Linked DNA regions of Stegostoma tigrinum. The main gene of each other region encodes a partner of the protein of the gene in region 2 in a complex. Links are inferred from orthologs where the notes say so. Each region holds a gene or a part of one and is shown on either strand. Other genes may lie near its edges.

Region 1 (16,864 bases), on a different chromosome or scaffold from region 2:
AGATAATTAGTGATTTTCCTCAACACAGCCATTTCACAATGATGGCTATATTTTTGTTTCCTTTTTTTTTCACGGAATGTGGGTAACATTTGCAATGTCAACATTTGTTGCCCATCTTTAATTGCGCTTGAATTGAGTAGCTTGCTCAGCCATTTCAGAGACCCTTTAAGAGTCAAATACGTTGTTGTGGGTCTGGCCCAGACGGCGTCTGAAAGAACCTTAGTTAGTAGATGAGTTTTTCCAACAACCCATGGTCATCATTACTGAGACTAGTTTTCAATTCAATCTCAATTATCAGTTGAGTCGAAATTCCGCCAGCCTGCCACAGTGAGATTTAAATCCATGTCTCTGGCTGGATTACTAGTTCAGTGATATTATCACTACAACACCACCACTCTGTATCGCATGTTCTCCTTCAAGGATATTGAAAGTATCATCCAGGGCATCATTTTTCCACCCCTCAAAAATTTACATGGCTGTGGAGGGGTGAGGAGTGGGGGCGTAGAGGCAGATAGCTATGCCCAGCTATGATGCTTCAGTCCTCCAGTGTGAGGCAGGCTTGATGAACCTAGTGATCTTTCCTCTTATTTGATGCATAGTTTACATCATAGAAACAGAATCATTACAGTGCAGGAGGAGCCCATTTGGTCCAATGTTCATTTATCTAGTGGTAATCTCCTGCCTTTTCCCTCATGTCCCTGTTTCTAACCAAATAACCATCCAATGTCCTCTGAGTGCCTTAATTGAACCTGCTTTCACCACATTTCCAGGCAGTGCATTCCACGCCCTAACTGCTCAGCGTGAAAACGTTTTTCTCTCACATCACTCTTGCTTCATTTGCACATTACTTTAAATCTATGCCCTCTTGCTCTTTGTTCTTTTATGAGTGGAACAACTTGTCCCTATCTACTGTAACCAGTCTGCTCATAATTTTGAAAATCTCTTTCAAATCTCTTCTCAGCATTCTTCTCTTCAAAGTAAACAGTCCCAACTTCTTCAATCCATCTTCATTATTGATGTTTCTCATTTCTGGAATCACTCTAGTATTTCGCTTTTACATTCTTTCCAATGAGTTCACATCCTTCCGAGAATATGACACCCACAACCATTTATGATACTCTAGCTGAAGTCTAACAAGTGTTTTGTACAAATGCAACATCACCTCCTTGCTCCTAATAATAAAACTGAAAATGTTGCATACTTTATTAATTACTCTCTCCACCTGTCACCTTCAATGATCTGTGCAAATATATGCACAGGTGCCACAACCCATTTAGAATCAGACTCCCCATTTTATATTGAACGAAAATGTTCTTTTGAATAAAATGCACCATCTCACACTTGTCTACACTGAATCTCATCTGACACTGTTCTGCCCACTGCCTCAACTTGTTAATGCCCTTTTGAATACTGCACATTATACAAACCTTCAAAATCAAAGGATTAAAAATGATCAATTGGTTTATTTAGCCTGTAATTTACATGCATTGGTGTAATATTTACACATCTGCAACCAGGCAATAGACAGAATAGAATTTGTCTCCTTGGTCAGAGGGTTTGTTTTGGGTATGTGGGTGTAGGTGACAAGGCTGGCAATTGTAGCCCATTCTAACTGCCCCTTGAACTGAGTAGCCTGCTAGGCCATTTCAGTAGGCAGTTAAGAATTAACCACATTATTGTGGATCTGGAGTGACACATCAGCGAGGCCAGGCAAGGATGGCAGATTTCCAGTGCAGACTCATGGGCTGAAGGGTCTCTACTGTACAATGTAATTCTATGAATCTATTATACTCCACTGCCACTTGATCTATTTGGCTCACTTAATTCTGAGGAACCAAGTCTAGCAGTGCCTCCGTTCTTGTTAGACTGGACACATATAGGTACAAGAAGCTCTCCTGGACACATATAGGTACAAGAATCTCTCCTGGACACAATCTAGGAATGCTCTCCACTTGGGCAGCGCGGTGGCTCAGTGGTTAGCACTGCTGCCTCACAGCACCAGGGACCCAGGTGTGATTCTGCCCTCTGTGTGGAGTTTGCACATTCTCCTCGTGTCTGCCCATGTTTCCTCTGGGTGCTCTGGTTTCCTCCCACAGTCCAAAAATATGCAGGTTAAGTGGATTGGCCATGCTAAACTACCCAGAGTGTCCAGAGATGTGCAGGCTTGGTGGGTGGGTCGTGGTATGTGTGGGGTTACAGGAATAGGGTAGGGTGGGTGGGTCTAGATGGGATGCTCCTTGGATGCTCAGTATGGACTCGATGGGGGCAAAATAGCCTGCTTCTTCATTGTACGGATTCTGCGATTCTACGAATGCTGTAACTTTGAGCACCGTAACTTGCTCAAAGAGAAAATGCCATTATGCCTAAAAAGGAGTGACAAATAAAAACCCTAGAAGGGCAAAATGAATCAAAAGCCACATAAATACCTGTACTCACATTTACTGATCCGGATGTAAACTCAATAAATATCTGGGAACTATTAGTCACTGGACAGAGCTGAACTGGAATCCCATATTAAGGTATATAAGACAAGCTTGGACCAGAACCACCATTTCCACGTTTTACTGTATTGTCCTTCTAACAGCTCACTCTGCACACTATAACTAAAATTATATCTTAAAGAAGGAGCCATACAAATCTTTAAGCATTATTACAGTGCCAGATGGTTTGCCCTTGTGAAAGTCAGAGAATATTTTGAGTTATTGATGACTTTGAGAAAAATACAACACCAAATCATGCACAACCCCGTTCTCTGATTGGGCTCTGTACACCGTGACATTAATCTCCCGCATATCAAGGGGGTGCACAACCTTACAAGCAACCTCTCGGCCAGTTTCAAATCCCATCTGCTGCAGAAGTGCATAATAACATCTCTAAAGAGAATGATTAGAAAATATCTAAAATCACAACTAGGTGTCAAGTGAAATCAGGGAGTACTTTTATTCCAGATAAAGGGTTGAAGAAACCCAGAACTCTTTCCCAACAGGTTGTGGATGTTGGATCCGTGAATAGCTCTAACCCAGTCACTTGACTTACATAATCTACAGTTCAAAAGCACGATACAGTACAGCACACAGGCGTTCAGTTTTTTGTGTCTGTGTCAATCCTTTAAAAGAGCTATTCAATCCCCTGCTTATTCCCCATAGCCTTGCAAATTGCTCCGTTTCAAGTATAGATCCAACTCCCTTTTGTAAGTTATGACTGAAACACTTTCCACTGCACTTTCAAGCAGTGTATTCCTGACCACAGCAACTCTCCATCTAAAAGAAATTCCTCTATCTGCCAGCTGGTACTGTTGTTAATGATCTTAAATCCGTGCCTTCTAGTATCTGACCTTCCTGCTGTTGGAAACAGTTTCTTCCTATTCACTATCAACACAGTCACAACTGTGAATTCCTCTATTGACTCCATGTCTCTGTCATAATGATTCTCTAATCTCTCCAACAAACTGAAAAAATTGAAGTTTCACAAAAATATATCTCAGCTCACCAGGGAGCAGTGGTGCTGTGCACAATTTTGATTTGTTGCTCCAGTCCCATTAGCGCACAGGGTTTCAGATCTTGCCCTTTCTGCTATGGAATGGTGTGTTTTTATTAAGCCTACAGTACCACTAAACTTCCTGAAACAAAATGTTAATGATTTTAAAATATGGTTTGGTTTATTCTTGAACACATGCCATGGCCATAAACAAATCAAGCAGTGTCATGCGGTCGGGTGCAATTTCTTTTTCTTAATTCATTCATGGGATTTGGGTATCACTGGCTGGACCAACATTTATTGCCCATCCTTAATTGCCCAGAGGATAGTTAAGAGTCAACCACATTGCTGTGGGTCTGGAGTCACACATAGGTCAGATCAGTAAGGATGGCAGATTTCCTTCCCTAAACCAGATGGGGTTTTTGCTGACAAACGACAATAGATTCATGGTCATCATTAGATTTTTAACTCCAGGTTATTGTTGAATTCCAATTCTACCATGTGCCATGGCGGGATTCCAACCCAGGTCCTCAGAACATTGGATTAATATTCTAGTGATAGTAACACTACACCATTGGCTACCCCAAAATTTGTTTGGAGAAAATAGATTTCTACAATTCTTCCCCACTGAGAGCCTCTTCAGATTATATCTGAATCTTCTGCAGACTAACTGATTGAGAACAACTGCTGTAGTAGTCAACAACTCTATTATCAGAATGATAGACAGAAAACTAGATGGGCTGTGATTTTTTATAATCTAACAATTGTTGTACTCCAGTGTAACTTCACTCACTGTTGCATTTTGGCAGCTTGCCATACAAAACAAAAAATTGCTATGAGTAAGCAAACTTCAAACTAATTTATGATAGGAATTACATTTAGACTTCTTCATACCTTACTCCACTTTCCCCTACATAATACTTCCCTCTTGAATAGTAAGGGAGAACCAATGAGTCTGCCTCATGGTGAGAGCTTTGGAAAAATGGTAGCTTGTTATTCTACATTATCTCTTTCATTAACACTTCATTGGAAGTAATCTTCATTATCACTTTAACCACTTATCTTTAGAAGGGCATAACAAGAAATGACACCCAACCATACAGTTATCTTTACTCCCAATTTACGAAGGAAGCTACTAACCCAACAAGCACTGCAGAAGGATAAACAGAATAAATGCAGGGCACTATCAACTGCAGCGTGGAGGGTGGCATGAGACAAGGGGTGAGAAAGGTTTGGCAACACAAGCTATCGAAATCCTGTCCTGTTCCCAACAGCACCAAGGTAATTTTTTTTCTTTATTAATTAACGGAATGAGGGCGTCGCTGACCAGGCAGCATTTATTTCCCATTCCTAATTGCAAAGGGCTGTTCAAAGTCAACCACATTGCTGTGGGTCTGGAGTCACATGTAGTCCAGACCAGGTGAGGATATCAGCTCATGATCACCATTAGATTCTTAATTCCAGATATTTATTGAATTCAAATCCTGCATCTGCCGAGGTGGGATTTGAACCCGGGTCCCCAGAATTCTATCTGGGTCTCTGGATTATTCTATTCTCGTTTCTAAACTCAGCAACATTTCTGACAGCAATAACAAAATACAACAGAAATACTGACGTTCCATTCTTTCCTGAAGCAATTAGAGTACAGGAGCCTCTTGCTACTCAAACAATACTGAAGTTCCAAATTTAAAGACTAATATGTGAAACGGCAGAATCGAATTCAAATACACCAATAATTTATTAATGGCATTAACAATGGACCGTGAAGATTTAAAAGTCACTGTCAATATCCAAATTGTTCAATAATATCTTTCAGGGAAGGAAGAAGGAACAGGAGTGAGATACCAGGTCCTCAACTGTTTGCCGAGCAGAAGTACTGATTTTATCTGTTCCCCTTAATGTTGGAAAATGTTGATCATATTGTCAATTAACCTAAATTCCCAACAGTTTAGAAAATATTAAATCATAATTTAACACTTGGGGTTCAAATATCATTGAGTAAATCTGTACTACCTGTGGACCAAAACAGATATATCAATCCTAAACTATGGTGTCCAGAGCTGCTTTCAGTACTCCAGATGTGGCCTAATCAGAGAAACATGATGCTATTGTCTCAAATACTCATTCTCTAGATATAAAGATCAGCATTCTATTAACCTTTCTTGATTATTTTCTCAAAGCATTCACAACATTTTAATGATCTTGGGCCCCAGGTCCCTTCGGATGTCCAACGTACCCAGCTTTTCACCATTCACAAATATTCCATTTTAGGTCCAATGTGAATAACTTTACACTTACCAACATTTAAATCCATTTGCCACAGTTTTGACATTGTTTTAAGATTATACATACATTATTAAAATTATACATACATTATGCTTCTACTTCCACGGTTTACAACGTCCCTTAATTCCTTCTCATTAGCAAACAGAAATTTGTGGCTCTGTAATCCATTAACAGAGTCATTAATAAACAGCGAAAAGTTCACAGCACAGATCCTTGTGGGACACCACAAGTCACATCCTGCCATTGACACTGACTACTTCATTGCCTCTACTGTTTCCCATAGCTCAGGCAAATTCCCAAGTAGCTCAATAATTTTCCTTCAGTTCTGGGAGTTTTAACTTCCGCTCTTCAGTCTCTGTGAGGAAATTTATCAAATGCCTCTTGCAAATCCTGATTCATTATTCCATAGACAGTGCACTGTCCATCACATCAATCAGCTTGTCATCCTAATCTTAAATACAGACTCAGGTTACTTCCTCAACAACGGATGTCAGACTAACTGGTCTATAATTCCATTTTCTCCCCTTTCACATTGCTTAGAAACCAGTTACCCTTACCTGGTCTGCTTGATATCTGACTTCGTTCTTGCCCAACACAAGTGATTCAATATATTAATGATGCATAGGATCTGGGCTATAAACACTGGTTTTCCATGCCACCCACGTTGAGAGCCATCTTTGAAAATCTGAAGCCTTGCATATTTCTTTCATTTCATTTACAGGAATTTAGTTCTTGGGAAACTTATCCATTCCCACAGCACAAATGCTAGCCAGGGGGATGACCTCCAAGCCATTATCAATGTGCGGTGATAACAGTCTGAGAAGGGTGCTGGGGAGATGGTGAGACTTGAAGCTGTGCTTGAGACTCCTAAGGACTTAACTGGGACAATATAAGCAATATTTAAGAAGCGAGAGTGCAATGTTTCCAATGTTTATTTGTGTTACGGAAGGACATCTGGGAATAAAAGGTTAATTATGTAATTGAATGATAGAACAAAATAAGGAACAGAATGGTCCTCCGCCTGTTCCTATCCTTTGCAGTTTGACTTTGCTAATTAGAATTACTTTTCCTTGTGGGGTAGACGGGGGGGTATAGAGGTAATGCCAGTGGGTGAGTAATCTTGAGGCCCAGCCTAATACTCTGGGGATGCAAGCTGAAATCCCACCATGCCAGCTGGTGGAATTTAAAATTCAATTCATAAAATTTAGAATCACTGAAGCTGACCTTGAAACTATCAGTGATCAAGAAGAAGGGTCTAGGCCCAAAACACCAGCCTTCCTGCTCCTCTGATGCTGCTTGGCCTGCTGTGTTCAGCCAGCTCCGTGCCTTGTTATATTAGTGATCAAGTAGCATCTGATTCACCACTTTAGAGATGGAAATCTGCCATTTTTACCCAGGTTGGCCTACGGGCAAATCCAAATCCACAGCAGTAACGAGGCTGACTGTTCTCTGAAATAGTGCAGCAAGTCACTCAGTTCCAGAGCTTCTATGAATGGGCAATGAATGCTGGCTTTTCCAGTGATGCCCACATCCCAAAGACTTTGTTTTTAAAATAAGTCAAAAGTAGCAGAAATGAGACTTGTGGTCAAAAAACGAGAGAGTGCACAGATGCTAAATGGCTATTATATGATGCATTTGAGATGGCTGTGAATTGCAAACAAGGTGCAACTTCTAAATGACCATTTTCAAAAACTGTTTCTAAAATGTTTAAAGGTGATTTCAAAAGATCTGAATCAGTGGGAGACTGGTCCTCAACTTCCACATGAAGCCAAAACCCTGATGCAGCATCAAAATATAATTTCTCAATGTCCCTAGACAATTTTTTTAAAGAAGTATTTCTACCTTGCTGGCTCTGCCGAGCTCTACGGACGCCAGGAAGACCTTCAAGAAGACAATGACTGAGTTTAACATACAGCTCCTTCTATCGCTGTTTGAACTGCAGTCAGTCCGGATCTGTTCTTAAGTTATGCAGCGAACACCAGAAAAGGTAGCAACTCAGAAAATATTCGCTGAGAACCTTGGAAACTTCGTGCTTTAAAAAAAATATAAAGGGGTTTGCAACAGCTGATCACGATTCCGTTGGCCTGCCTCTCTGGGTCTGTGTTTAAGTTCATCTACACATTTCATAGCTAGATTCGATCGTCGCTTGCCCTGAAATCGCACCTCCCGTATAGTGTTACTGGAAATGTTCTTCCTAGGCAGTTTCCTGAGTATATAGGAATCAGGTTAAAGATAAACAGACACACTGGCCATTGAAGCATCCCTTTCCAAAGACAACCGCAATTAGGATTGGGATCCGAATCGAATTCACTTTAATTCGGATCTTGGCGGATTGGACAGTTCGTCGCAATCGCACGCTCGGCCAGTGCAATTAGAAAGTTGCAGAGTGTAGTCCTTTGGACAGACATTATACAGTATATGTTCTCACAGACACGCATAATGTTTCAAATTGTGAATTACTTACTTTACTGATCTGGTTTCTACATTAAAGACTACCTTAATTAAAAGTCACCCGAGATCGAATATATATTTTTCATTGAAATTAATAGCCATTTTAGTAACTATTAGATGCAGTAACTTGCGCTGCAGAAGATTGCTGCAAGTACAGTTAGATGTTTTCAGGAACTGGAGACGGAAAGAGAGCAGCTCCCTGGCTCAGGAGGTGGGTCCTTACCGGCTGCAATCTCAGGGGCTCCTTTCATGGGCTTTCATCTTGTCTCCGAGCTGGGGATGTCAGGCTTAATCTGAAGGGCAAACTAATAAACGGTTCGAGCTACCGTTTCCGCTGTTTAACAGGAATCTTGCACCACATCCGCCCGCTGTGCTTTGACACTCAGTCAGTCATCGAACCGAGCCCTTCTCCTTGGTTAGGCGTGAACCATAACTGACACTGATCTGGGGGTACCAACCCGCCAGGAGTCTCCAGGGATTCATCTGCCGCACATGGTGTTTTTTTTACATTCTTTCCCCTACTGATATAAAAATATATACTGAAAGTGGGGGAGGCTGGAGGCAGTCAGTCATCATCCTTGTTGGGGGGGGGTCACTTAACAGTCTGTTTGTTTCCAGTTAACCATGGAGGTTAGACCTATGGTTCAGATGAATAAATAGGATGACCAATGGCAGGAGTGTGGGTTGGGCAGAAAGCATTTCAGAATTACTTAAACTTTGCCCCAATCAAGTCTGACTCTGGGTGCCACAATCTCCACACCGTGCTTGGGGCAAGGAGGCAGGTCCCCAACCAGAAAAGGCGTTGAAGCATGTGCTATTAGAACAATCTGATCCACACCCTTTCCTCCCAGGGGAGTCAGTGTTGCATACATTTTCGTTTGCATATTTTAGCCTGAAGCTACAGGCAGTGATGGTTGTTAGAACCCTCACTGGTTTTTCATTATTTTTATTCCGTTGTCAATTTTTGCTTGGAGCCCTGAACTGGGAATTGGGAGCTGAATATGCCCTGTGGGCTTTGGGAAACAGCTTGTGGTAAAAGGAAAAGAGGTCAAAAAAGTTTTTGTTTGTAAGGCCAGGCCTGGAGCCTAATCGCAGGTTTGTTCTTTACTTAAGGGGTTCAAATAGTCACAGCAACCTGGAAAGAGCATTGTGTTTGAACAGATAACCAACTTTTGCTATTAATGGGATGGGTTCCAGCAAGACTGGAAGAGATATTCAAGCTGGTATCAGATACTGAATGTAATTGAGGTGCCAGGAAAAGACAATCAGTTTATCAGGGTGGGACCAGAGTTGAAGTGTGTTTTCTGGAAGAAAAATTGATGGTACAGTGGACAATAAAGAAGGTAATCTAAGGTTACAAAGAAATCTTGATCAATTGGGTCAATGGGCTGAAGAGTGGCAGATGGAGTTTAATTTGAACAAATGCAAGCTATTGCATTTGGTAAAACAAACAAGAGCAGGATTTATACAATTAAAGTAGGCCTTTGGGAGGTGCTATAGAACAGAGAGACTTAAGGGTACAGGGACATAGTTCTTTGAAGTTTGCATCCTCTCTGATGAAGGGTCTAGGCCCGAAACATCAGCTTTTGTGCTCCTGAGATGCTGCTTGGCCTGCTGTGTTCATCCAGCTTCACACTTTATTATCTTGGATTCTCCAGTATCTGCAGTTCCCATTATCTCTCACATGTAGACAGCATGGTTAAGAAGGCACTTAGCATGCTTGCCCTCATTGCTCTGACCTTTGAATACAGGATTTGGGACATTATGTTGAGGTTGTACAGGACAATGGTGAGGCCTCTTCTGGAGCACTGTGTCCAGTTCTGGTCATCCTCTTATAGGTAGGAATTTATCAAGCTGGAGAGGGATCAGAAAAAATTTGTTAGCATGTTGCTGGAAGAGGAGGGTTTAAGTTATAACGAGAGGTTGGATAGGCTGAGAGATTTTCACCAGAGTGTAAGACGTTGAGGGGTGACCTTGTAAAGGTTTTTAAAATCATAAGGGATAGAGGTAGGGTGAATGGTGGGTGTCTTATCCCTATGGTGGGTGTTTTCAAGACTGGGGGCTTATTTTTAAGGTCAGAGAAGAAAGATTTAAAAAAGACATGGGGGCAATTTTTTTTATACTGAGTGATTCGTGTACAGAATGAACGTCCAGAGGAAGTGGTGGATGCAGGCACAGTTAGAGTGTTTAAAACACATTTATATAAGTACAAGAATAAGAAAGGTATGGCGGGATATATGTCAAGCAATGGGCAGGTGGGACTAGTTTAGTTTGGGATTACAGTCAGCATGGACTGGTTGAACTGAAGGGTCTGTTTCAGAGCTGTATGACTCTAAGGGTGGCTGTTGATGACACAGCATGAAGATTTGAAAACTCCATTCCAAACTTCCCTTCACGGTTTTCAGGAGCCCAAAAAGTAAAAAGCTGAGTTAGAAATTTCACTGTCTTTACCTGAGTGAACTGAAAACATGACCCTGATTGATGTCTCCAAAAAAGCAGCAAAGGAATTTACATCTATGCCTGTGAAAAAACACATTGTGAAGCCATTTAAGTAATTTGGCCAGTTTTGTGATGTTCTTTTAGTTATCCTCTTAACCATGTTCATTTGTCTGAATTTTGTGTGAATGGGGGCTGAAAACAAATGTTTTGGGATTAAAGCATATTAATCTTTAACTTAATATTAAAATTTAAAGCATAGGCATAGACTACCTTGTTTTACATTTTCTCTGCTGAAGTTATATAATAAATTGTTGCGTCTTTTGTTTAAAATGTAGAACTGGTATCTGAAATTAATTATACCTAAAGTCTGAGATTGATTATTCAAAAATCTAGTTAGGAACTACTGAAATAACTATTAGGGGTCTTCGAAGGTTTTAGTTCTACAGTGTTGTGAATTCAGAGATATTTAGTTCGGCTGTCTGTCTCCCTGTTGTAACGTGGTGGAAGATCTCTATCCATTCACAAGGCTGACCAGGAATCTCTTCCACTCTGATCACCTGCCATTGGTGTTGGATGGATTTACAAGTTAGTACTGAAACTGTTTGGCCACATTTTGAATACACCTTTCTTGGTTATGAATCCTGGAGTGGGACTGAAACCAGAGCTTCTGCTCCTGCGATAGAGATGTTACCCACTGAACCGCGAGATCTCTCTTCACAAATCCATCCTATTTTTGTTACCCTAAAAAAAGGAGCAGGTCCTTAAGCACATTCTACCAATTAGACAATGGTTTAATTACATGTTTAAGTGTAGGAAAAATTAATGTACCCACCAAAATTTTGGAACAAAACTTTTGGCTTATCATAGATAACACAGTGTGACCTGAAACGTCAAGCTTTCCTGCTCCTCTGATGCTGCTTGGCGTGCTGTGTTCATCCAGCTTCACACTGTGTTATCTCATATTCTCCAGCCTCGGCAGTTCCTACTATCTCTTTTGGCTTATCATTCTCTGTTTTGAAATGCCTAAATGATTTCCTTGCATCAAGAGGATTTTGGGGAAGACAGTTCCAAACTTCCATTATCCTTTGTATAAAGAAGTGCTTCTAAGCATTCATCCCCAAATCTAATTTTAACATTATGACCTACTGTTCTGGGCTTCTCCACCAGGGGGAAATAACCTTCCTTTCAAATCCCTTAATCACCACAATTAGGTCACCCATTACTCTGCTAGGTTAAAATAAACAATGGAAATTACGATGGAAAGATGGAGTTTGTATCTGGTTGATCAATAAATGACGGCAGTTCATCTGTCTCCCTTTTTACAAGCATACAGCAAGGTAATACACTGTGGAAACTCTAATAAATGGGCCCAACTTATCTCTTCAGATGCAAGTTGCTTTTTATTTTCAGCACTCATGTTTTCTACACTTGGTCTCCTAGAACTTAGTTGAATGGAAATATCAAAACAATCTGCAATTTAAAGAAAACATTGGATTATTATTTTAGTTCAAGAATAAAGACTGGTCTGGCTCACTGCCCCAATCTTATATTCAGATTTACATTCACAAAAGATTGTTTACTAGAAATTCAGAGACTTCCAGCTTAAATTTTCTTTGCACCATTTTAAAACTAGTTTGTGTTCCATAAACCGGCACTCAGCATGCAGAGTTCATTTGAGGTTCTAGAGAAAATGTCCAACTGGACAGGAAGTGCCACACTGAAAGAGCTGTTGATATCAACACCACTGAAACCTTATAGATTCCAAAACAAGAATCTGAAAGTTCAAGTTTACATCAAAGTCCATGACAAATGTATCTTTTTCACAGCAAGTTTGATGACTTTAATGCCATGGCCTTGATTATTTATGTAGTGCTTTTGCCTCTGAGTCAGATAGTTGTGAATTCAAACCTCACTTGAAGGACTGGAGCAGAAAATCTCGCTGACATTCCAGTACAGTAGTGTAGGCACACTGCACTGTTGGAAGCACTGTCTTTTTCAATGGAATGTTAAACAAGTTTGTTTGTATGAAACATGCCACGATACAAATTCAGAGTAGAGGGGTTTGGTGTCTTAACAAATATTTATCCTCCAGCCAACATCATAGTTATACAACAACAAAAACAAAGTTGCTGGAAAAGCTCAGCAAGTTTGCCAGCATCTGTGAAGGAGAAAACAGAGTTAACATTTCGGGCCCGGTGACCATTCCTCAGAATTCAGTTCCACCTGAGGTAACCTTCTTCACTGTCCACTACACCTCCTATTTGGTGTCATCTGCAAACTTACTAACCATTCCTCCCATATTCACATCCAAATTATTTATATAAAATGACAAAAAGATGTGGACTCAGCACTGATCCTTGTGGCACACCGCTGGTCACAAGCCTCCAGTCTGAAAAACAAACCCCTACCATCACTCTCTGTCTCCTACTTTTAAGTCAATTTTGTATCCAAATATCCAACTCTCTCTGGATTGCATGCGATCTAACCTTGCTAACTAGTCTACCATGCAGAACCTTGTTGAATACCTTGCCGAAGTCCATATAGACAATGTCTGCTGCTCTGCCTTCATTAATCTTCATCACTTCTTCAAAAAACTCAATCAAGTTAGTGAGACATGATTTTCCATGCACAAAGCCATGTGGACTATCCCTTTTCAGTATTTGCCTTTCTAAATATATGTCCATCAGAATTCTCCTCCAACAACTTTTCCACCATAGAAGCCAGGGTCACCAGTCTGTAGTTCCCTGGCTTTTCCTTACCACCTTTCTTCAATAATAACACCACATTTTTCAGCACTTCATTTGTGGCTGTCACTGGTGCAAATATCTCGGCAAGTTTGTGAGAACATGAAGCTCCTTTTCTACAAATGGAGTCATGTTTAATAAACTCCAAACCAAACTAACTCAGAAATTTACAACTGTATTCATTCCTTTGTTTCTGATGTTAAGTGTGAATTATTTCTTTGATTAGAGGCAGAGCACTTTCCCAAGTTAAAAAGCCTGTCATTAACTGATCAACTGAACTGACACCAAACCATTGTGAAGTTGAATCCCTATGGATAGAATCCTGACCACGTAAGGGGTCTGCCTCTCAATTTACCATTACTGACATTAACTAGCCGTGACTGGGTCAGGCGTTATATTATTAAAACTACCAGACAGGGACAGTTTCCAAACTTCCTTTACCCAGAAAATCATCATCGGAGTCACTGCAACTCCAAGGAAACCCCATTTTCACACGAGTAAATTAGACAAATTGCAAGGATTAATATGGGCTCTTAAGTGGACAGTGGGCCATATTATGAGTTGAATGATGATTAGCATAGCTTATTTTAGAATGTGGCAACAGAAAGTGCTGAAAATACCCAACGTATTCCCCTTAATCAGTAATGCAAGTCCTCTGCCCATTTTACATCCCCTGCTTTCTCACCTGAAATATCTAAACCCTGAAAGAAGTGTGACAAAATACTCTCCACTTGCCTGGCTGAGTGCAGCTTCAATAACACTCACAAAGCTTGACACCATTCAGGATAAAGCAGTCCACTCGATTGGCACCACATTCAGCAGCTTCAATAGGCCTCCAGTCCAAAAAACAAACCTCCACCATCACTCTCTGTCTCCTACCTTCAAGTCAATTCTGTATCCAAGTGGCTAGCTCTCTCTGGATTCCATGTGATTTAACCTTAGTAACCAATCTACCATGTGGAACCTTGTTGAATGGCTTGCTGAAGTTATTTGGACAACCTCCACTACTCTGCCTTCATTAATCTTCTTTGACACTTCTTCAAAAAACTCAATCAAATTCATGAGGCACGATTTCCCACGCACCATGCCATGTTGACAATCCCTCATCAGTCCTTACATTTCCAAAGAATATTCCATCATCATTGAATAGAATGCGCTATATTCCCAGCTGATTTAGTTAGAAATGCAGCACAGTTTTGGAAAAAAAATCCAACATAATAGTCTTAGGCTCAGCAGAAAGCGACACCAGTTCAGGTTATGTAGAAGCACAGCCTGTTGTAAGACTTAGGAGCAGAAGTAGACCATTTTGGCCATCAAGTCTACTTTGTCAATCAATGAAATCACAGATGATCTTATAATCCTGAGCTCCACATTCCTGCCTTTTCCCCATAACCTGTCAATCCCTTATTGATTAAAAATCTTCTATCTCAGCTTTGAATATACTAATGACCTAGCCTCAACAGCCCTCTGCAGTAAAGAATTCCAGAGACGCACAACCCTCTAACAGAAGAGATTCCCTCTCACCTCTGTCTTAAATATTTGACTTCATTTTCTGAGATCAAGCCCTCTCGTCCTACACTCTCTCAATGGGCAACAACCTTTTGGCATCTAGCCTACAAATTCCCTTAGAATCTTGCATGTTACTTGTAATCTTCTACATTACAAAGAGTACACATCCAATCCATTCAATCTGTCCTCATAACCAGTCTCTCCATACCTTGTATCAGCCTAGTATATATTCACCATGCAAACATTCAACCTCCAGTCATCGATATTTGCATCGATCTCAGCTTTTATGATGGACGGGATCTTCCCCCTGTCTTTCCTCATATAATCCACTGGCACATCCCCCGATTCCTTATCCCTCCTTTGTTTGTTTAACCTTCTCCAAAATCAACCCGCACTATTCACTTTGATTATCCCTATGGTAGCGATTTCCACATTCTCACCACACTTTCAGTAAAGAGGTTTTCTTTGAATTTGCAATGGAATCTTCCCTGCATCTTCTCCAATGCCTCAATATTCTTTTTTATAATGTGGTAACTAGAACAGTATGCAACACCCTTAAGTATCATCTAACCAAAGCTTAATACTAATTTAGTATAACTTCCCCGCTTTTCAATTCTATACTCTGAAAAATAAATCCTAATGCTTAGTTTTCTTATGTATAGCCTTGCTAACCTGTGGCATAACTTTTGGTGATTGGTGTATTTGTGATCTGAGATCTCTTTGTTCCTCTACCCCAGAACATCTAGAAAGCAGTAAATCAGAAATGCCTGCCTCTACATTCCACAGGATATCCAATTGTTTACCCCTAAAAATATTTTAAATCCACCTGATTAGACACATCATAATGTCTAGAACAGATGGCACTTACCCCAGACTCTGTAGTCCAAGACAGGGACACCAAACCTGGTCAGACATTTAGCCAGTTTGACTGTATAAGTGATCAGTTGTCCCATGAATTGCCTTAAAGAGCTTGCTCCCATAGTTAACTGCCTCTTGGTTGAGAAGTCCATTAGGTAAAGAGCTTTTAGTTATAAAGCTCTTATCAGTAAATAACTTGCACAACCCATTGTCCACATGAGAAACAGCCTCTGGGAGTATGAAAATTTTCACATAGCATGATAACACGGCATAGTATGTTTACTTCAAGCAATAAGGGGTACAAAGATGACACATTACCACAATAATATACAAAATACACACCTTCTACAGCTCAAAAAACAATATCACAGATTTAATCATTACATAAAAGTCACATTTCTAAATATAGTTCAGCAACCTTTCTCCTTTATAGAATTTCAAAAACATACCATATAACCATCTAATGGAAAGGCCACTTGTTTACAATGCTAAATTTAAAACAACTGATTAACCAATATGTCAGTATTTTCCAGCTTCACCACAGCTCAAGTAAACATGCATTTATACCATATCTTTAAATGACGCATTCAGTTCAAAGACTTCAATCACTCAGCAGTGAATGAATGATTGGAGTGGGTGTACTTGCATAAATTAATAGTGTGGGTAGACAACATTTATTTCAGTTAATCTATCCTAAGAAAATTCCAAAACAGAAAGCAATGCAGTCTCCAAAGAAAATTCTTAACAAGTTCGTTATATTTTTTAAAAAATTCCTCTAATTCATTATCTAACTGAAAGACCTGTTGAAAGGGACATCAGCTGAATATTTGCCTTTCTACACCAAATATAAGAAGTCTGTGGTTGATTCATATGAGTTCTCAGGCAGTCCACATGACTGAAGGATCAGAATACTCTGTAAAATAACTAGAGATCTGGTGTGTTGCAGTTCACACTGGAGACCAAGTTTCTGTCGCATAATTCTGTTTTTACATGCATGTCATTGCATTTCTTTCTATCACATGTTCGTCCACGAATTTCTCACATTCAGACTACCTGCTACTGACATTGTGGGAAGGATCAGTAGGTTGACAATCAATCTT
Region 2 (16,817 bases):
GACAACTGATGGTGGCTTAACCTGATGATCACTACACTTCAAGTGAGGGGAAAAATTGAGAAGGAGTGTCCTTCATGGTGACCTCAGCCAGTGTGGGAACTGAACCTGCCCTACTGACATCACTGCATCACAAACCAGTGTCCACCCAACTGAGCTAACCAGTGGGCCAATTTACCAGCAGAAAAGTTAGAATCCTCTCACCAAGAGGTTAATTCTGCCACTAATGTAGACAATTAAAGGCACGATCTCAACAACTCTGGCATTTTACTAGCAGCATACAGGGCTTCTACCACATGGGGTGCCTTGGTATATCATAAGAAACTACAGAAAGTTGTGAACACAGTCCAGACCATCACACAAAAGCAAGCTTTCCATCCATTGGCTCCATCTACATTTCTCAATATCATGAAAAGATAGCCAACATCATCAAATACCCCTCCCACCCCAGTTATATTCTTTTCTAACCTCCTCCATCAGGCAGTAGATTCAAAACCTTAAACATATATACCAATGGGTTCAAGAACAGCTTTCAAGAACAACTTCTTCCACCTGTTATTGGACTTCTGGGTGGACCTCTCAAATTTGAAATCTAATGCTGATCTTGCTTTATGTACACCTTTGTTGTAGCCTTATCTTTGTATTCACACTCTGTTCAATCACCCTATGATCTTTGTATGTTATGATCTACCTGTACTGCATGCAAAACAAGACTTTTCACTGTACTATTTCTAATGACCGCAATAATCTATGCCTGTGTTAGAATAAGGCAAAATATTGAAGCTAAGACAGTGAATGATCATTTGACCTTTGAAAACCAAAAGATTCCAGAGTAAAGATCTTTCTTACCATTGATTCCTTTTCATCACAATAAAAGAATATTGAAGATCCTCGTAACTCTGACCAGTATCTTTGGAAGGTCTGTTAAATAGATAAGAAAACAAATCATTGGGAGGGGAAGAACAGGCTTCATGTTTTCTCATTATATTTTGTAGAACTGTAGAAATACAAATGGTTACAGCACAATAGGAGGCCATTCAGCCTGTTGAACTCATTCTGCCCTTAATAACAGCAACTAATTTGGTCCTGCTTCTCCTCCCTTTCCTAAATCCCTACACTTTCTCGCCTTCAGATGTTTTCTAATTTTTTTTTGAAAGCCCATGACTGAATCCATCTGTGACCCTTTCAGATACTGCATTCCAAATTGCAATCGTTCACTGCTGTCTTTCCTTAAGTTGTTTCTTTTGTCAAGGAATATCAATCTGTTTTTGTTGATTCTAGACCTCTCTGACAATGGAAACAGATTCTACCTACCCTGACAAGATCATTCATAATTTTTGATGCGTTTGTCAAATCTTCTCTCATATTTCTGTGTTCAGGAAGAGAATACCAGCTCCTTCAAACCATCTTTAAGTATTTCTAACTGTTCTTAACTCTTTTCTGCACCATTTCTAAGGCTTTCACCACAGTCTTAAAGTGGCATGCCCAGAATTGGACATAACAGCCCAGTTGATGCCATACCAGCTTTTTGTGAAAAATCATTAGTCTTTGCTTTTCTACTCTATTTATAAGGCCCAGCTTTTTAAAAAGCATTTTCTTAACCTACCGTCATTTTGTTTTTAAAAACATGTACGTACATTCTGCCAGGTCTTAAGTGCACACTTTGAAATTGTACTCTTTATTTGATACTGCCTCTGATTATTTTTTTTCCCCACAATGCATAACTTCATGTTCTTACCATGTGACCAAACTATTCAACCAGCCTTTTATGTCCTCTCCAAGCCAATCACTAACTACACGTCCTCCCACCCAACCTCCTGCAAAAATTCCATCCCCTGTTCCCAATTCCTCCGCCTCCGCCGCATCTGCTCCCACGATGAGGCATTCCACTCCCGCACATCCCAGACGTCCAAGTTCTTCAAGGACCGCAACTTTCCCCCCAGTGGTCGAAAACGCCCTTGACCGCGTCTCCCGCGTTTCCCGCAACACATCCCTCACACCCCGCCCCCGCCACAACCGCCCAAAGAGGATCCCCCTCGTTCTCACACACCACCCCACCAACCTCCGGATACAACGCATCATCCTCCGACACTTCCACCATCTACAATCTGACCCCACCACCAAAGACATTTTCCCATCCCCACCCCTGTCTGCTTTCCGGAGAGACCACTCTCTCCGTGACTCCCTTGTTCGCTCCACACTGCCCTCCAACCACACCCGGCACCTTCCCCTGCAACCGCAAGAAATGCTACACTTGCCCCCACACCTCCTCCCTCACCCCTATCCCAGGCCCCAAGATGACGTTCCACATTAAGCAGAGGTTCACCTGCACATCTGCCAATGTGGTATACTGCATCCACTATACCCGGTGTGGCTTCCTCTACATTGGGGAAACCAAGCGGAGGCTTGGGGACCGCTTTGCAGAATACCTTCGCTCGGTTCGCAATAAACAACTGCACCTCCCAGTCGCAAACCATTTCAACTCCCCCTCCCATTCTTTAGATGACATGTCCATCATGGGCCTCCTGCAGTGCCACAAAGATGCCACCCGAAGGTTGCAAGAACAGCAACTCATATTCCACTTGGGAACCCTGCAGCCCAATGGTATCAATGTGGACTTCACCAGCTTCAAAATCTCCCCTTCCCCCACCGCATCCCAAAACCAGCCCAGTTCATCCCCTCCCCCCACTGCACCACACAACCAGCCCAGCTCTTCCCCTCCACCCACTGCATCCCAAAACCAGTCCAACCAGTCTCTGCCTCCCTAACCTGTTCTTCCTCTCACCCATCCCTTCCTCCCAGCCCACGCCGCACCTCCATCTCCTACCTACTAACCTCATCCCATCTCCTTGACCTGTCCGTCTTCCCTGGACTGACCTATCCCCTCCCTACCTCCCCAACTATCTTCTTTTCTCTCCATCTTCGGTCCGCCTCCCCCTCTCTCCCTATTTATTCCAGAACCCTCACCCCATCCTCCTCTCTGATGAAGGGTCTAGGCCTGAAATGTCAGCTTCTGTGCTCCTGAGATGCTGCTGGGCCTGCTGTGTTCATCCAGCCTCACATTTTATTATCTTGGATTCTCCAGCATCTGTAGTTCCTATTATCACTAACCCCCTCAGTTCACTTTACCATATTTCGAAGGTTTATGTCATCTCCAGTTTTGAAATTGTGTTTTGTACACCCAAATCTGGGCCATTAATGAACATCAAGAGAAGCAGTAGTCCTAATACGAATCCTGGAGAACCTCATTGTATACTTTCCTCCAGTCTGAAAATTAACCATTCACCATTACTGTCTGTTTTTTTGTAAAGTTCTCACCTTTATCATAGATGGTGCTCAAGCATTAGCCATCTTGGAGACTGAACTAGTTGCATTCTAAGTAAATCATGGATTAAGGGGGCTTCATTTTTATAGAAGGAAACTCAATAAACTTTTGCAAATATCCTATGACAACTGCGTTGTCTATAATCTTGTTTCTTATTTGAAATTATCTACAATTTGCTAATGAGGTTTCTTCAACTCATTATATTTTAAAAACCAAAAGAACTGCAGATGTTGTAAATCAGGAACAAAAACAAAGTTGCTGGAAAATCTCAGCAGGTCTGGCAGCACCAGTGAAGAAAAAAAAATCAGAGTTAACGTTTTGGGTCCGGTGACGCTTCTTAAGAACTGAGGAACCGAAACGTTAACTCTGATCTTCCCTTCACAGATGCTGCCAGACCTGCTGAGCTTTTCCAGCAACTTTGTTTTTGTCACCATATTTTAAGTTTGTTCTTTATTTAGCATTTATTCAATTTCAAAATTATCATTCTTCTACTTGCCTCCAAAGTGCTTAGGACTGTGGGTCAACACAGTCACAGAAGACCAGTTCCTTTAAACTGTGCTATTTATATAAGTGTACGTCTTTTGTTGTGCATTCGGTATTAATCTGGTACCAGGCACTCGATGGTGGTTGAGAACCGCGTGTTCCTCAACAATAACAATAAGTTATGTTCACACAGTGGGTTTTAATGTATAAGAAGTGCTTCATAAGAGTATTATAAAGCAAAATCTGACACCGAGCCACGAAAGGAAATATTAAGATGAATCACTGATTGCTTAGAAAAAGAACTAGGTTTTAAGAAATGTATTAAATGAGAGAGAGAGAGAGAGAGAGAGAGATGAAGAGGGAAAGAGTTTACGGAGGCACTTCCAGAATCTGGCTTAGGCTGTTGTAGGCACAGCCACCAACCATTCACCAATCAAAATTATGGGCGCATAAGAAGCCAAACTTTGGCCGAAATCGTTCAGTTGGGAGAACGTTAGACTGAAGACCTAAAGGCTCCCGGTTCAATATCCGGTTTCAGCAAAATAAGAAGTTTCTTTCCGCATCAGCACTCATTTGAAGGGGCCTCTTGTGGCGCAGTGGTAGTATTCCTAACGAGAGACTCAGGTTTAAGTCTCACCTTGTGTAGCAACACGTTGATTAGGGGAGAAATCGTTTTTTTTCTAAAAAAAATGCCAAACAGTTTTCCTGTGGTGGCTCCTACAGATAGGTGGAGTAATGCCTTCGTGGGATTTGGAAGCAAAGATGAGAATTTTAAAAGTGTAGAGCTGGATGAACACAGCATGCTGCTTGGCCTGCTGTGTTCATGCAGCTCTGCACTTTTGTTATCTCCAGCATCTGCAGTTCCCATTATCTCTGACAATTTTAAAACATCTCTGACAGTCAGGAGTTTCTGAGCTCGGCTCACAAGATGCTCCGGAATAGCGACTCCAAGGTTTTGTTGTCGTAAATCTACGGGTAGAATCTTACCACCATTGACGACTCCGTGTTTGGGTACAAAAACATGCCTCAGTGCTGTTAGTGCTGTCTGCATGATCTTACCAGAGGCAAACAATTAAGAGGCCATATCTGTGAACGCTATCCAATTAAAAATGGTGAGTGGGATAAGCACCCAGTTAGTAGCGAGTTTTGAGAAGATTTGTAGCTCAGGTTGAGGTTCCGGATGTGAGTTTGCTCGCTGAGCTGGAAGGTTAGTTTTCAGACGTTTCGTCACCATTCTAGGTAACATCATCAGTGAGCCTCCGGTGAAGCGCTGGTGTTACGTCCCACTTTCTATTTATCTGTTTCGGTTTCCTTGGGTTGGTGATATCATTTCCTGCGTTGGTGATTCAATAGAAAGCAGGTCCACTGTCAGGTGGACCCCAGTGGACTTCAGACTGATCACCCAACAACAGTAATTCAATGTTTACTCCTGGATACACCTTCAAGCTTGCTTTCATGTGACCAGGAGTATTTCACCCTATGGGTTTTTAAAAAGAGATTTTGGTCCCATTTATCAAGGTTTTGTTAAAGAATAAACGTCTGCATTTCCAGTTAATCTGCTTTAACTGCAAATACAGACTGTTATTGCTTAAAAAAAACCTTGATAAATGGGACGAAAATCCTTTTCTTTTCAGGCAGATCTTTTTCCCCTCCAGCAGCAGCTTTGCAAAGAAATTGTCCTGCAAGAGCAAAATGAGCTTGCGACAGAGAAGATAACAAAATGTGAAGCTGGATGAACACAGCAGGTCAAGCAGCATCTCAGGAGCACAAAAGCTAGGCAAAAGGGCCTAGACCCTTCATCAGAGAGCTACAGTGAAGATCCAGGTTGTCCCAAGGATCTTGTGGAAAACCGGCATTATACAAGACCACTGGCAACTTGAAATTGGGTCTTTTGTTTGACCTCCTAGTTTGAAACCCTCGAGGCAGCAAGGTGAGTGGAAATTATAGAAAGGAATTTTACAAATATACGTAGAAATTGCTGACATTGCTTGTGATACAAAACTCAGCACCCTATACCTTGAAACGCAGCCAGTGCTATCTATTTAATCTCCCTTGTTCCTGCTGGTCACATCGAATGCTGGTGTTCAAACCCCTCAGACGAAGCACAGGTCTTTGACCTACGGAGTTCCCATTTTGTTGCACCTTTTAACTAATAAATGCTAATTTCTAAAACTTGAGTTAATAAATAGTGGGCGACTTTACCTGAGGCTTAATTGAAAGAAAATACTGGATTTCAAACAGTACTTTTGTCACCGCTCCACCTCCCGCTGAGTTGACCAGCAGGAAATGTAGAAGTATTTCATTACCACGGGCTTCACAGTTGCCAGTTTAAGTTTGTGAAATTACTAACAGTTCAAGTTCACAAATGAAATGATAAATATAAAAAGCAGTGCATGTTGGTAATAATGAACCCTTTCTCCAGTTATATTGCAAAGCTGCTGGAGACAAAATAATAGGGTACTTGAAGCAGGAAACCTCAACGTTTTGAACACGAAGTGCCATAATTTTCAAGGCTACTACTCTAGTATGGGGAAGTGGGATTAGTGTAGGTAATGGCATATTTTTATCAGTACAGGCATGATGGGCCAAAGGGCCTCTTCCATAGCGAAGAATTCTATTTTCTACATTTAAGTAATTCATAACAGTAATTTTTTAAATAGCAATATTTATCCCGGTATGTTCTCACTAAACTTTGCCACTTCTCAAACAGCTTTCATCCTTTAATTTTCTTCAGAAAATCTTGAAGCCGTCAGGTAGGAAACTTTCCAATAACTAGACTTTCAAAGGAGTACTTTAACACTTTCTACAGCGCTGCCGTTCCTTCAGAATTATCGACGTTTAAAACGAACGTAATGTAAGTCTGCAGAGAGATACGCGGATGTCACCTACCTTATCCTTCGAGCTTTTTTTCCATAGAACCCCATCGTAATACAAAGGCAGAGAGGTAATCTTCTCCCGTCTTTGAAAGACTTGCCTCAAGTTTGTCCTGGAAGCTGCCATTTCTGTGTTTAAAAAACGTGATTACTCTTATCTATTAACGATGAGATGAAGCAATAAGTGTCCACGCACGCTTACAGCTTGGAGCGGCTGTGCCGTTGGACTGTTCCACTTCTAATCGATGTAATAGCCAGAGGGAGAGAACCGAAAGAACAGGACCCAGTGAGAACATTACCCGAGTCATTCTCATATATTTGCTATAGACTGGAATCCAGCAGGAATGAGGAAATTATTCAACGAGGAAAGTAGATTATCAAGTGTACGTGACATAGAAGAGATATATTCCTCTACCAGGCAAGAGCGTCTAACAGAGGGAGGGAAAGTTGCCTGCGGTACTGATTATTTTAATGTAGGTTGGTTTAAGGATGTAAAACAAAAGCAGAAATTTTTGGCGAAACCACCAGGTCTGTCAGCATCTGTAGAGAAGAAACCAGTTAACGTTTCGCATCCAGAAACTCTTCAGAACGTTCCAGCAATTTTTTAAAGACCTTCAGCATCTGAAGTTCTTTGTTTTATGTTATTGAATCACAATATAGATGTGTTGGAGGCGATTCTGAAAGGGTTTACCAGACGTAACACATGGAATGGGGCAGCCGGGACAATCTTGTCTTTTCTTAGCTGGAGTTTAGAGGAAGGCTGTGAATTTCCTCAGTAATTTCTATTTTAGTTTCAGATCTTCAGCATCCACAGTTCGTTTATTTTTTTTTGAGGTCTTAACAGGTCACTTGATTGAAACACAAATCTTGAGGGGTCTTCACAGGATGGATGCGTGGAGGTGTGTTCTTTTATAGGTGAATCTGGAACACAGCCACTTTTTAAAAAAAAATTCAAGGATTGCCCTCGAGAACAAGGATTTTGTGACTTTCGTTCTGAGGTTGAACAGTCTTTGGTACAGTCTTCCTGAACGGGCACGGGAAGCAGAATCCTTGATTTTTTTTAAAGGTAGAGTTAGATGGATTCTTATTAAGCAAGAAGTTGAAAGGTTATCGGGTAGACGTGAATGCAAATTTAATTTTACAATCATATCAACCATAATCTTATTGAATGGTGGAGCAGGCGTAAAGGGCTGAATCGCCTACCCTTGCTCCTGATTTTATGTTGTTGGTAAGTGCCAAGAAAAGTAAAAACACACCAGACGGAAGAGCACGGAACTTTTAGGGTCCTTGGAGGCATGTCTATTGGAAAATAGCCAAAACACCTATGAAAAAGGAATAGTAAACTTCAGTCATGTACAAAGAAAGAGTCAGTGATAATCTTTATTAAGAAAAGATTTTATAGGACTATGCTGATACATATGCATTGTTTCAAATGCCACAATTACAAACTTAAGCTCTTAAAAAACATAAACACATGCAAAACACAGACATAAGACCATCAACATAGAACAGTCGGTTTTACACTAACTCCCCTGGAAATTTCCCCTGGAAACTCCCATGGACACACTAAAGAAAATATACTGTATTGTGAGTAAAGTTTTCTTTAAACCTTATTTCTTTGAACATCTTAAAAAGTTTGAGTGTGGATTTAAACATTGTGTATAAATATAAAGTAGAATAATGATGATATGATATATTCTGTGATACTGTAATCATTCCTATAAAGTAATCCAGAATTGGTTCTTACAAGATAATAAAGTGTGGAGCTGAATGAACACAGCAGGCCAAGCAGCATTTTAGGAGCACAAAAGCTGATGTTTCGGGCCTAGACCTTTCACCTTTTCTGATGGAGGGCCTAGGCCCGAAACGTCAGCTTTTGTGCTCCTACGATGCTGCTTGGCCTTGCTGTGTTCATCCAGCTCCACACTTTCTTATCTCGGATTCTTCAGCATCTGCAGTTCCCATTATCTTTGGATCTTACAATATATGTTTTAAAACTCTTATTTAAGAAGTTGTAATTTCAAATTTAATTCCTCTTAAACACATCTCAATAAGAATATTTTAAATCCCTAAATTATGATTCTAAGTTGCTGATATTGTTAACCTTGAAAAACAATGTTCCTGTTTCAATACACCAGAGATATATTCTACCACAAGATAATTTTGTTGATTTGAAAACTCCAGAGGGGAGGATATTTCATTACAAGACCCAATCTGAAGCTGATAGAGCTGTCTAAATTCCTTCAATAATCTGAAGTTTTTCCTAGTTGATGTTTTAAACTGATGGTTTAACTGGGTAGGTTTACCTAAGGGTGAGGGTGGGGTGGTGGAGATTAATAATTAATTCATCTCTCTTTTGGCATTGATTCAAAGTCTTTCTTTGGAGCTGAGCACTTATTGGTTCTTGCGATATTGCTCCACACTGATAAGGCAGCATTTATCACCTGCCCTGAGTTGCCTTGAGGTCATTTACAAGTTCATCACTCAGTATGGGTCTGAAGCCACATGTAGATTTGTTTGGCCTCCCTTCCCTAATGGCATTTGTGAATTGAATGTTTTTTTAAATGACAACACAAACACATTTTTGTTATTTTCATTTGTGTTTATTCTCAAATCACCATAATGATTTCAATTACATAATGACCAGCACCATAATCACTAACAACAATTATGTAGTTGGGAGTATTAACACCTTTTCCAATCATTCATTTGTATCTTCAGAGGTGATCTGACTGTTGCTTTTAAGAAGTTACCACATGGATATTTCTTGCCTGGGCTCATCAAGATGTGACCAAGAAGTCCCAATACAATGTAACCAAGCAGTGCACTGAGCAACACTCTTCAATAACATAATTATATTCAAAGTCTGATTATTTTCAATTAGAAATTTTCCTTTGCATCAAACAAATGTTTTCTTATATTAAGAGTAAAATCATATCCTCTTGTGTGACCATCAGCTAGTTTTTATAAGTGGCACTGTAAGAAATTAAGTGTAGAGAACCAATTTTTTTAAATTCACTCATATGATGTGGATGTCGCTGGTTGGTTTAGTATTTATTGCCCATTCCCTGTTGCACTTAAGAGGTAATGGGAACTGCAGATGCTGGAAATTCCAAGATAATAAAATGTGAGGCTGGATGAACACAGCAGGCCAAGCAGCATCTCAGGAGCACAAAAGCTGACGTTTCGGGCCTAGACCCTTCATCAGAGAGGGGGATGGGGGGAGGGAACTGGAATAAATAGGGAGAGAGGGGGAGGCGGACCGAAGATGGAGAGTAAAGAAGATAGGTGGAGAGGGTGTAGGTGGGGAGGTAGGGAGGGGATAGGTCAGTCCAGGGAAGACGGACAGGTCAAAGAGGTGGGATGAGGTTAGTAGGTAGCTGGGGGTGCGGCTTGGGGTGGGAGGAAGGGATGGGTGAGAGGAAGAACCGGTTAGGGAGGCAGAGACAGGTTGGACTGGTTTTGGGATGCAGTGGGTGGGGGGGGAAGAGCTGGGCTGGTTGTGTGGTGCAGTGGGGGGAGGGGATGAACTGGGCTGGTTCATCCCCTCCCCCCACTGCACCACACAACCAGCCCAGCTCTTTCCCCCCCCCACCCACTGCATCCCAAAACCAGTCCAACCTGTCTCTGCCTCCCTAACCGGTTCTTCCTCTCACCCATCCCTTCCTCCCACCCCAAGCCGCACCCCCAGCTACCTACTAACCTCATCCCACCTCTTTGACCTGTCCGTCTTCCCTGGACTGACCTATCCCCTCCCTACCTCCCCACCTACACCCTCTCCACCTATCTTCTTTACTCTCCATCTTCGGTCCGCCTCCCCCTCTCTCCCTATTTATTCCAGTTCCCTCCCCCCATCCCCCTCTTTGATGAAGGGTCTAGGCCCGAAACATCAGCTTTTGTGCTCCTGAGATGCTGCTTGGCCTGCTGTGTTCATCCAGCCTCACATTTTATTATCTTGCACTTAAGAGGTGTTGAGTTGCCCACTTGAACCACTGCAGTCGACATGCTATATGTTGACTCACAATGCCCTTAAAGAGGGAATTCCAGGAATTTGACCCTGTGACAGTAAAGGAGCAGCAATATATTTCCAAGTCAGGATCGTGAGAGACTTGGAGGGGAACTTACAAGTGGTGATGTTCCCATGTATATGCTGGCTTTGTCCTTCTAGACAGAAGTGGTCATGGGTTTGGAAAATGTTCTCTCTGAATCTTCAGTTAATTTCTGCAGTGCATCTTGTAGATAGTATACACTGCTGCTACTGAACGTTGGTGCTGGAGGGAGTGGATGCTTCTGGATGTGGTGCCAATCAAGCAGCCTACTTTGTCTGGACAGTGACAAGCCTCTTGAGTTTTATTGGAGCTATACCTATTCAGGCAAGTTGGGAGCATTCCATCACACTCCTGACTTGTGTCTTGTAGATTGAGAACAGGCCTTGGGGAGTCAGTAGATGAGTTAATCACTGCAGTATTCCTAGCCTCTGACTTGCTTCTGTAGCCACTCTATTTAGGTGGTAAGTCCAGCTGAGTCTCTGGTCAATGGTAAACCCATTGACGTAACCCTAAGGATGTTAATATTGGGGAATTAGTGATGGTAACATCATTGAATATGAAGGGCAGTGATTAGATTGTCTCTTATTGGAGATGGTCTTTGCCTGGCATTTGTATGGCATGAATATTACTAATCACTTAGCAGCCCGAGCTTGGATATTGTCCAAATCTTGGTGCATTTGAGCATTAACTACTTCAGTATCTGAGGAGTCTAGAATGGTGCTGAACATTATGAAATTCAGTGATCATCCCTACTTCTGACTTTATGAATGGCGGAAAACAAATGAAGATGGTTGGGTGTCGGACACTACAGTGAGGAACGCTTGCAGAGATGTCCTGGGGCTGAGATGACTGACCTCTAACAAACATTATCATATTCCAATGTGCCAAGTATGACTCCAACCAGCAGACAGTTTGCTTCCTGATACCCAAAAATTCTGCTTTTTGCTAGGAGTCCTTGATGCCAGACTTAGTTGAATGCAGCCTTGATGTCAAGGCTGTCCTCCCACCCCACCTCTGGAATTCAACACTTCTGTCTTATGTTTAAACTAAGGCTGAAATGAGGTCAGGGGTTGAGTAGCCCTTGCAGAACACAAACTAAACATAACTAAGAAGGTTAGTGCTGCTTGGTAGGACTGTTGATGACATCTTCCATCACTTTACTGATGATTGAGAGGAGACTGATGGGGCAGTAATTGGCCAGGTTGGATATGACCTGCTTTTTATGGTCTGGACTTCCTTGGGCAATTTTCTACGTTGTTGGGTAGCTACCAGTGTTGTAACTATACTGGAGGAGCTTGGCTACAGGAGCTGCAAGTACTGGAGCACAACTCTACAGTACTATTGTCAGAATGATGTCAGGGCCAATAAACTTGCAGTATCCAGTGCCTCCAACCATTTCTTGATATCACATGGAGTGAATCAAATTGCCAAAGCCTGGAATCTGTGATGCTGGGGACCACTGGTAGAGCTTGAGACGGATCATCCACTTGGCACTCCTTGCTGAAGATTGCTGAAAATACTTCAGCCTTATCTTTTGCACTGATGTGCTGGGCTCCCCCATGAGTTCATTAATTGTCCACCACTATTCACAGCTGGAGGTGGCAGGACTGCAGATCTTAGATCTGATCCATTCGTTGTGGGATAATTTAGCTCTGTCTATCACTTGCAGCCTATGCTGTTTGGTATGCAAGTAGTCCTGTTTGGTAGCTTCATTGGGTCGACACCTCATTTTTTTAGGTATGCCTGGTGCTGCTCCTAGTATGCCCTCCCACAATCTCCATGGGACCAAGTTTGATTGCCTGACTTGATGGAAATGGTTGAGTGGAAGTTATACTGGATTATGAGGTTGCAGATTGTAATGGAGTACAATTCTGCAGCTGTTGTTCACTCACAATGTCTTGTGAATGCCAATTTAAGTTGCTAGATCTGTTCAAAACCTGTTGCATTTAGCACGGTGATAGAGCCACACAACATGATGAGGGCTATTCTCACAAAGGTGGGACTTCATCTTCACAAGGCCTAATCTAATAAATGAGGAGAACTGATAACCACTCAGCCCTATGAAATCTCTGAAAGCTACCAGAACAACATCTCTCTTGTTCCAACATTTAGAACTTTCTTGAGTCACACATTGTGACAATAAAACAATGATAAATTATTTGTGTCCAATGGAACATGATCAAATGGATCACCTTGTTATCTGGCACCAAAGGATTAAATATACTCATTAACTACGTGTAAATTTCCATGATTTTAAAAGTTAGATTTGATTGTGATTAGATTATACAGGGCATTTTGCAATTTGTCTTTGCTTCTATGGCATTAGCCTTGGCTCATTTGGTAATACGTCTGTCCTTGGTTCAGAGGTGCTTTTTTCAACTTGTGGGTTGTGACTTCAGCATGAATCCAGCTTCTCATTCCAAATCGATAGAGTGCTGCACTGTCAGAAAGATCATGCTTTGGAGGAGACATTCAGTTGAGATTCTCTGGTCCTTTTATACAGACATTAGACATCCACATCATTATTTTGAAGAAGAATTAAGAAGTTTCTCTGGTGTTCTTATTTATCTCTCAAATGCTATCACTTAAACCTGTGATCTGGGCTAATACTTTTTTGTTTGTGGAACCGTGCTGTGAATGAATTAGCTCCAATATTTCCTCATATTACAAATGCTACAAGTGTGCTTCAGCAGCTGTAAAGCACTGAGATAAATGGTGATATAAACATGCATGTCTTTTTAATTTAATCACTGATACATTACAATTCCATAAAATGAAGAGTTTTTCCAGAGTATTCCATGTTTCTATGGTAATATGTGAAATGCAATATGCTCTAAAATTATTACAATTCATGGGCATGTAGACATTGAGGACACTTTTGAACGTTCCAGTTAGCATTAGGCTTACTGGTTGGAAATTCTTTAAGCTGCTGAATGTTTGAGAGCTGAGATCCAGTCATTTTTCCTAAGCCATATGTATTAACGTTCTTACTTTGGTTATACCTTCATCCTGAATTGAACTTCAGTCATGAGAATCAATTGCACTGTGGCAGAACAGATGAGATGTTAAACCAAAGCTCTGCTTCCCCTCTCAAGTATAAATGAAAGATCCTGTGGTTGTAATCAAAGAAAAGAGCAAGGGAATTCACCTCGTAATCTATTCAACATTTATTCCTTAATGAATGTCTAAAACAAACCATTTGGTCAAGATTACAGTTTTGTTTGGGATTTTTATTTTTGTGGTCATTTTGGATGCTGCATTTCCCAAGTTATAACAATGACTACATTTCAGAAATGTTTCATTGTAATGTTCTAAGGACAGGAAAGACACCTCATAAATGAAAGTTTTTTTCTTTCTTTCTCAATTGGTAATTCGGTGTTCTTCTCAGGCAGTCCCTGGAGACCGGGGACAACTTTCTTTTGGTCCAGGTCAATGAAGTGATTTTGGTTTTCAGATGAAGATAAAGTAGGTTTAACCATTGCCCATTAGGTATTTAGACTATTCTGGCTATTCTAAATTTACTGAAGATGAGATGTAATACTGCAGTGAGGAAAATGGTGAAAATAATTAGTGCAATTTCACAGCTTTGTTTAACTCCAATTTTCACTGTGATAGGGTATGTGGTAATTCCGTTGTTGGGCATCATGACATGTATGTTATCATGAGGCAGGTGGAGGATGGCGACAATTTCAGACAGCAGAAAAAAATGTAAAAAGCTAAACAGAGCATTCTGGTGCCATTCCTGGATTTGAATTTTCTGCACAGTGACAACCATGTTTGTTGCCTCATGATGGTCAAAAACTGCATTGTGACTCTGGAAGGAGTTCTTTGCCAACTCCTGGCAGGCTGTACATCCTCATATCCCCCACATGAAAAGAAGAGCGAATGCTGGTGATCTCACGGATGTTGTGATCGTGATTATGTTCAAAAAGTCTGATTGTTGTAACAACAGAGGATTTGCCCTGCTGTCTGCCACAGGGAAGATAATTGCAACGACACTCCTCAACCACCTCCTCCTACTTAAGACCATAAGACATAGGAGTGGAAGTAAGGCCATTTGGCCCATCAGCCATGATTTAAATGGCGGAGTGGACTTGATGGGCCGAATGGCCTTACTTCCACTCCTATGTCTTATGGTCTTAAGTAGGAGGACACGGTTGAGGAGTGTCTTTGCAATTATCTTCCCTGTGGCAGAGAGCAGGGCAAATCCTCTGTTGTTACAACAATCAGACTTTTTGAATATAATCACGATCACAACATCCATGAGATCACCAGCATTCGCTCTTCTTCTCAGGTGAGGGATATGAGGATGTGCAGCCTGCCAGAAGTGCATCTATAACATGTTTGAGAATTTCAGCAGGGCTTCCATCTGCTATTGGGCTTTTGTTATTTTACAGATATCAAATAGCTTTTATAACATACCAGCTTGAAGCAGTAGACATCCAGCCATCAAGAACTAAATTGCACAGACTAGTTGGCACAGATCTTCAAATTAAAAAAAAATTAGATAACTAACATACTTCACTGCAACAGGAAACAGCTTAACAAGACCCTTTATATCTTACACAAAGAACGTCTTTGCTGAGTGGAAATGCATGTTGAGGACTCGGTCTTCTGAAGAAAGTAAATGAAGCTCTGGATCAGAACAATAGGTCAAATTTCCATCAAGAATTTCCTCAGCTCTGTCTGAGACTTGGTAAGCTTAGAAATGACTATCATATTACATTGCTTCAAGACACAAAGCTACGTCTAGAGTCTCTCATTGCTGTTGTACGTGAAAGATGAATTGACTTAAATGTTCCACAGTTGTGTTAAATCATAGAGCCAAGATATTTGAGGGTTTGTGATAGCTCCCAGACGAAATAGTGTGCTCATGTTTTGCATGAACCTGATAAAATCAAATAATGCAGTCCAGAGGGAAATGCATCCTAGGTACCCTTCTGCCAGGTGTCAATACTGTTAACAATGTTCATTATAGTTTTGAAGTGATTCTCCTTTAACTGTATTCCCTTTGGTACATCATTAGATACAGAGATATGCCGGTGAACCATATTGAAAGTTTCTGCAAGATAAAAAGAACTGTCAACAAGAGAGAAAAGCATATTTGATCTCAACCTTATAAATCTGCCGGCTGCAGTTGCATCTGTCCATGAGACTATTAGTAAGAGGGACCATCGCACAGTCCTTGTGGAGATAAAGTCCCGTCTTCACATTGAGAATAAATTCCATCATATTGTGCGGCATTATAACTGAGCTAAATGGGACAGACTTCACACAGATCTAGCAACTCATCCATAAGGTGCTGTGGGCCATCAACAGCAGCAGAATTGTATTCCAGCACAATCTATACCCTCATGGCCTGGTTTATCTGCCACTCAACCATTACCATCAAGCCAGGGGATCAACCCTGGTTCGATAGAGAGTGCAGGAGGGCATGCCACAAGCAGCACCAGGTATACCTGAAGATGAGGTGTCAACCTGGTGAAGCCACCAAACAGGCCTACTTGCATGCCAAACAGCAAAAGCAGCAAGTGATACAGCTAAGTGATCTCACGACTAACGGATCAAAGCTAAGCTCTGCAGTCCTGCCACATCCAGTTGTGAATGGTAGTGGACAATTAAACAACTCACTGGAGGAGGATCTCCACAAATATTCCCATCCTCAATGATAGAAGAGCCCAGCACATCAGTGCATAAGATAAGGCTGAAGCATTTGCAGCAATCTTCAGCCAGAAATGCCGAGTGGATGATCCATCTTGGACTCTTCCAGTGTTCCACAGCATTACAGATACCATTCTTCAGCCAATTCAATTCACTCCACGTGATATCAAGAAATGGCTGGAGACACTGGATACTGAAAAGGCAATGGGCCCTAACAGCATTCCAGCAATAGAACTGATGACTTGTGCTGCAGAACTTCCCGCTCCTCTAGCTAAACTGTGCTATTGCAGTTATAACACTGGTATCTACTAGCAATGTGGAAAATTGCCCAAATATGTCCGATACACAAAAAGCAGGAGAAATCCAAACCAGCCAGTAGCCACCCCGTCAATCTACTCTCAATCATCAGTAAAGTGATGATAGGTGTAA

Evidence for each region.
Region 1: the proteins of signal-transducing adaptor protein 1-like (region 2) and linker for activation of T-cells family member 2-like are in contact, whole or in part, in a crystal structure (PDB 3MAZ), measured with the Homo sapiens proteins. The link is inferred for Stegostoma tigrinum from reciprocal best matches to the Homo sapiens genes STAP1 and LAT2. Residues at the interface, in NP_001304698.1 of Homo sapiens: Arg184, Arg203, Pro204, Gly205, Ser206, Ser212, Ile215, Gln217, Ile219, Lys225, His226, Tyr227, Lys228, Glu239, Leu240, Glu241, Tyr255, Phe256, Glu259, Thr260, Arg261, Asn263, Leu264; in NP_054865.2 of Homo sapiens: Asn134, Ser135, Tyr136, Glu137, Asn138, Val139, Leu140, Ile141, Lys143.

What each region holds. Positions count from the first base shown.
Region 1 is NC_081380.1:5,373,250-5,390,113, reverse strand, and holds the start of linker for activation of T-cells family member 2-like, read right to left. Parts: upstream 8,573-16,864; 5' UTR 8,466-8,572; coding exon 8,438-8,465; intron 7,667-8,437; exon of another isoform or gene 7,606-7,666; intron 1-7,605. UniProt on the Homo sapiens protein: Involved in FCER1 (high affinity immunoglobulin epsilon receptor)-mediated signaling in mast cells.
Region 2 is NC_081356.1:16,919,224-16,936,040, reverse strand, and holds the start of signal-transducing adaptor protein 1-like, read right to left. Parts: upstream 7,080-16,817; 5' UTR 6,806-7,079; coding exon 6,695-6,805; intron 919-6,694; coding exon 847-918; intron 1-846. UniProt on the Homo sapiens protein: In BCR signaling, appears to function as a docking protein acting downstream of TEC and participates in a positive feedback loop by increasing the activity of TEC.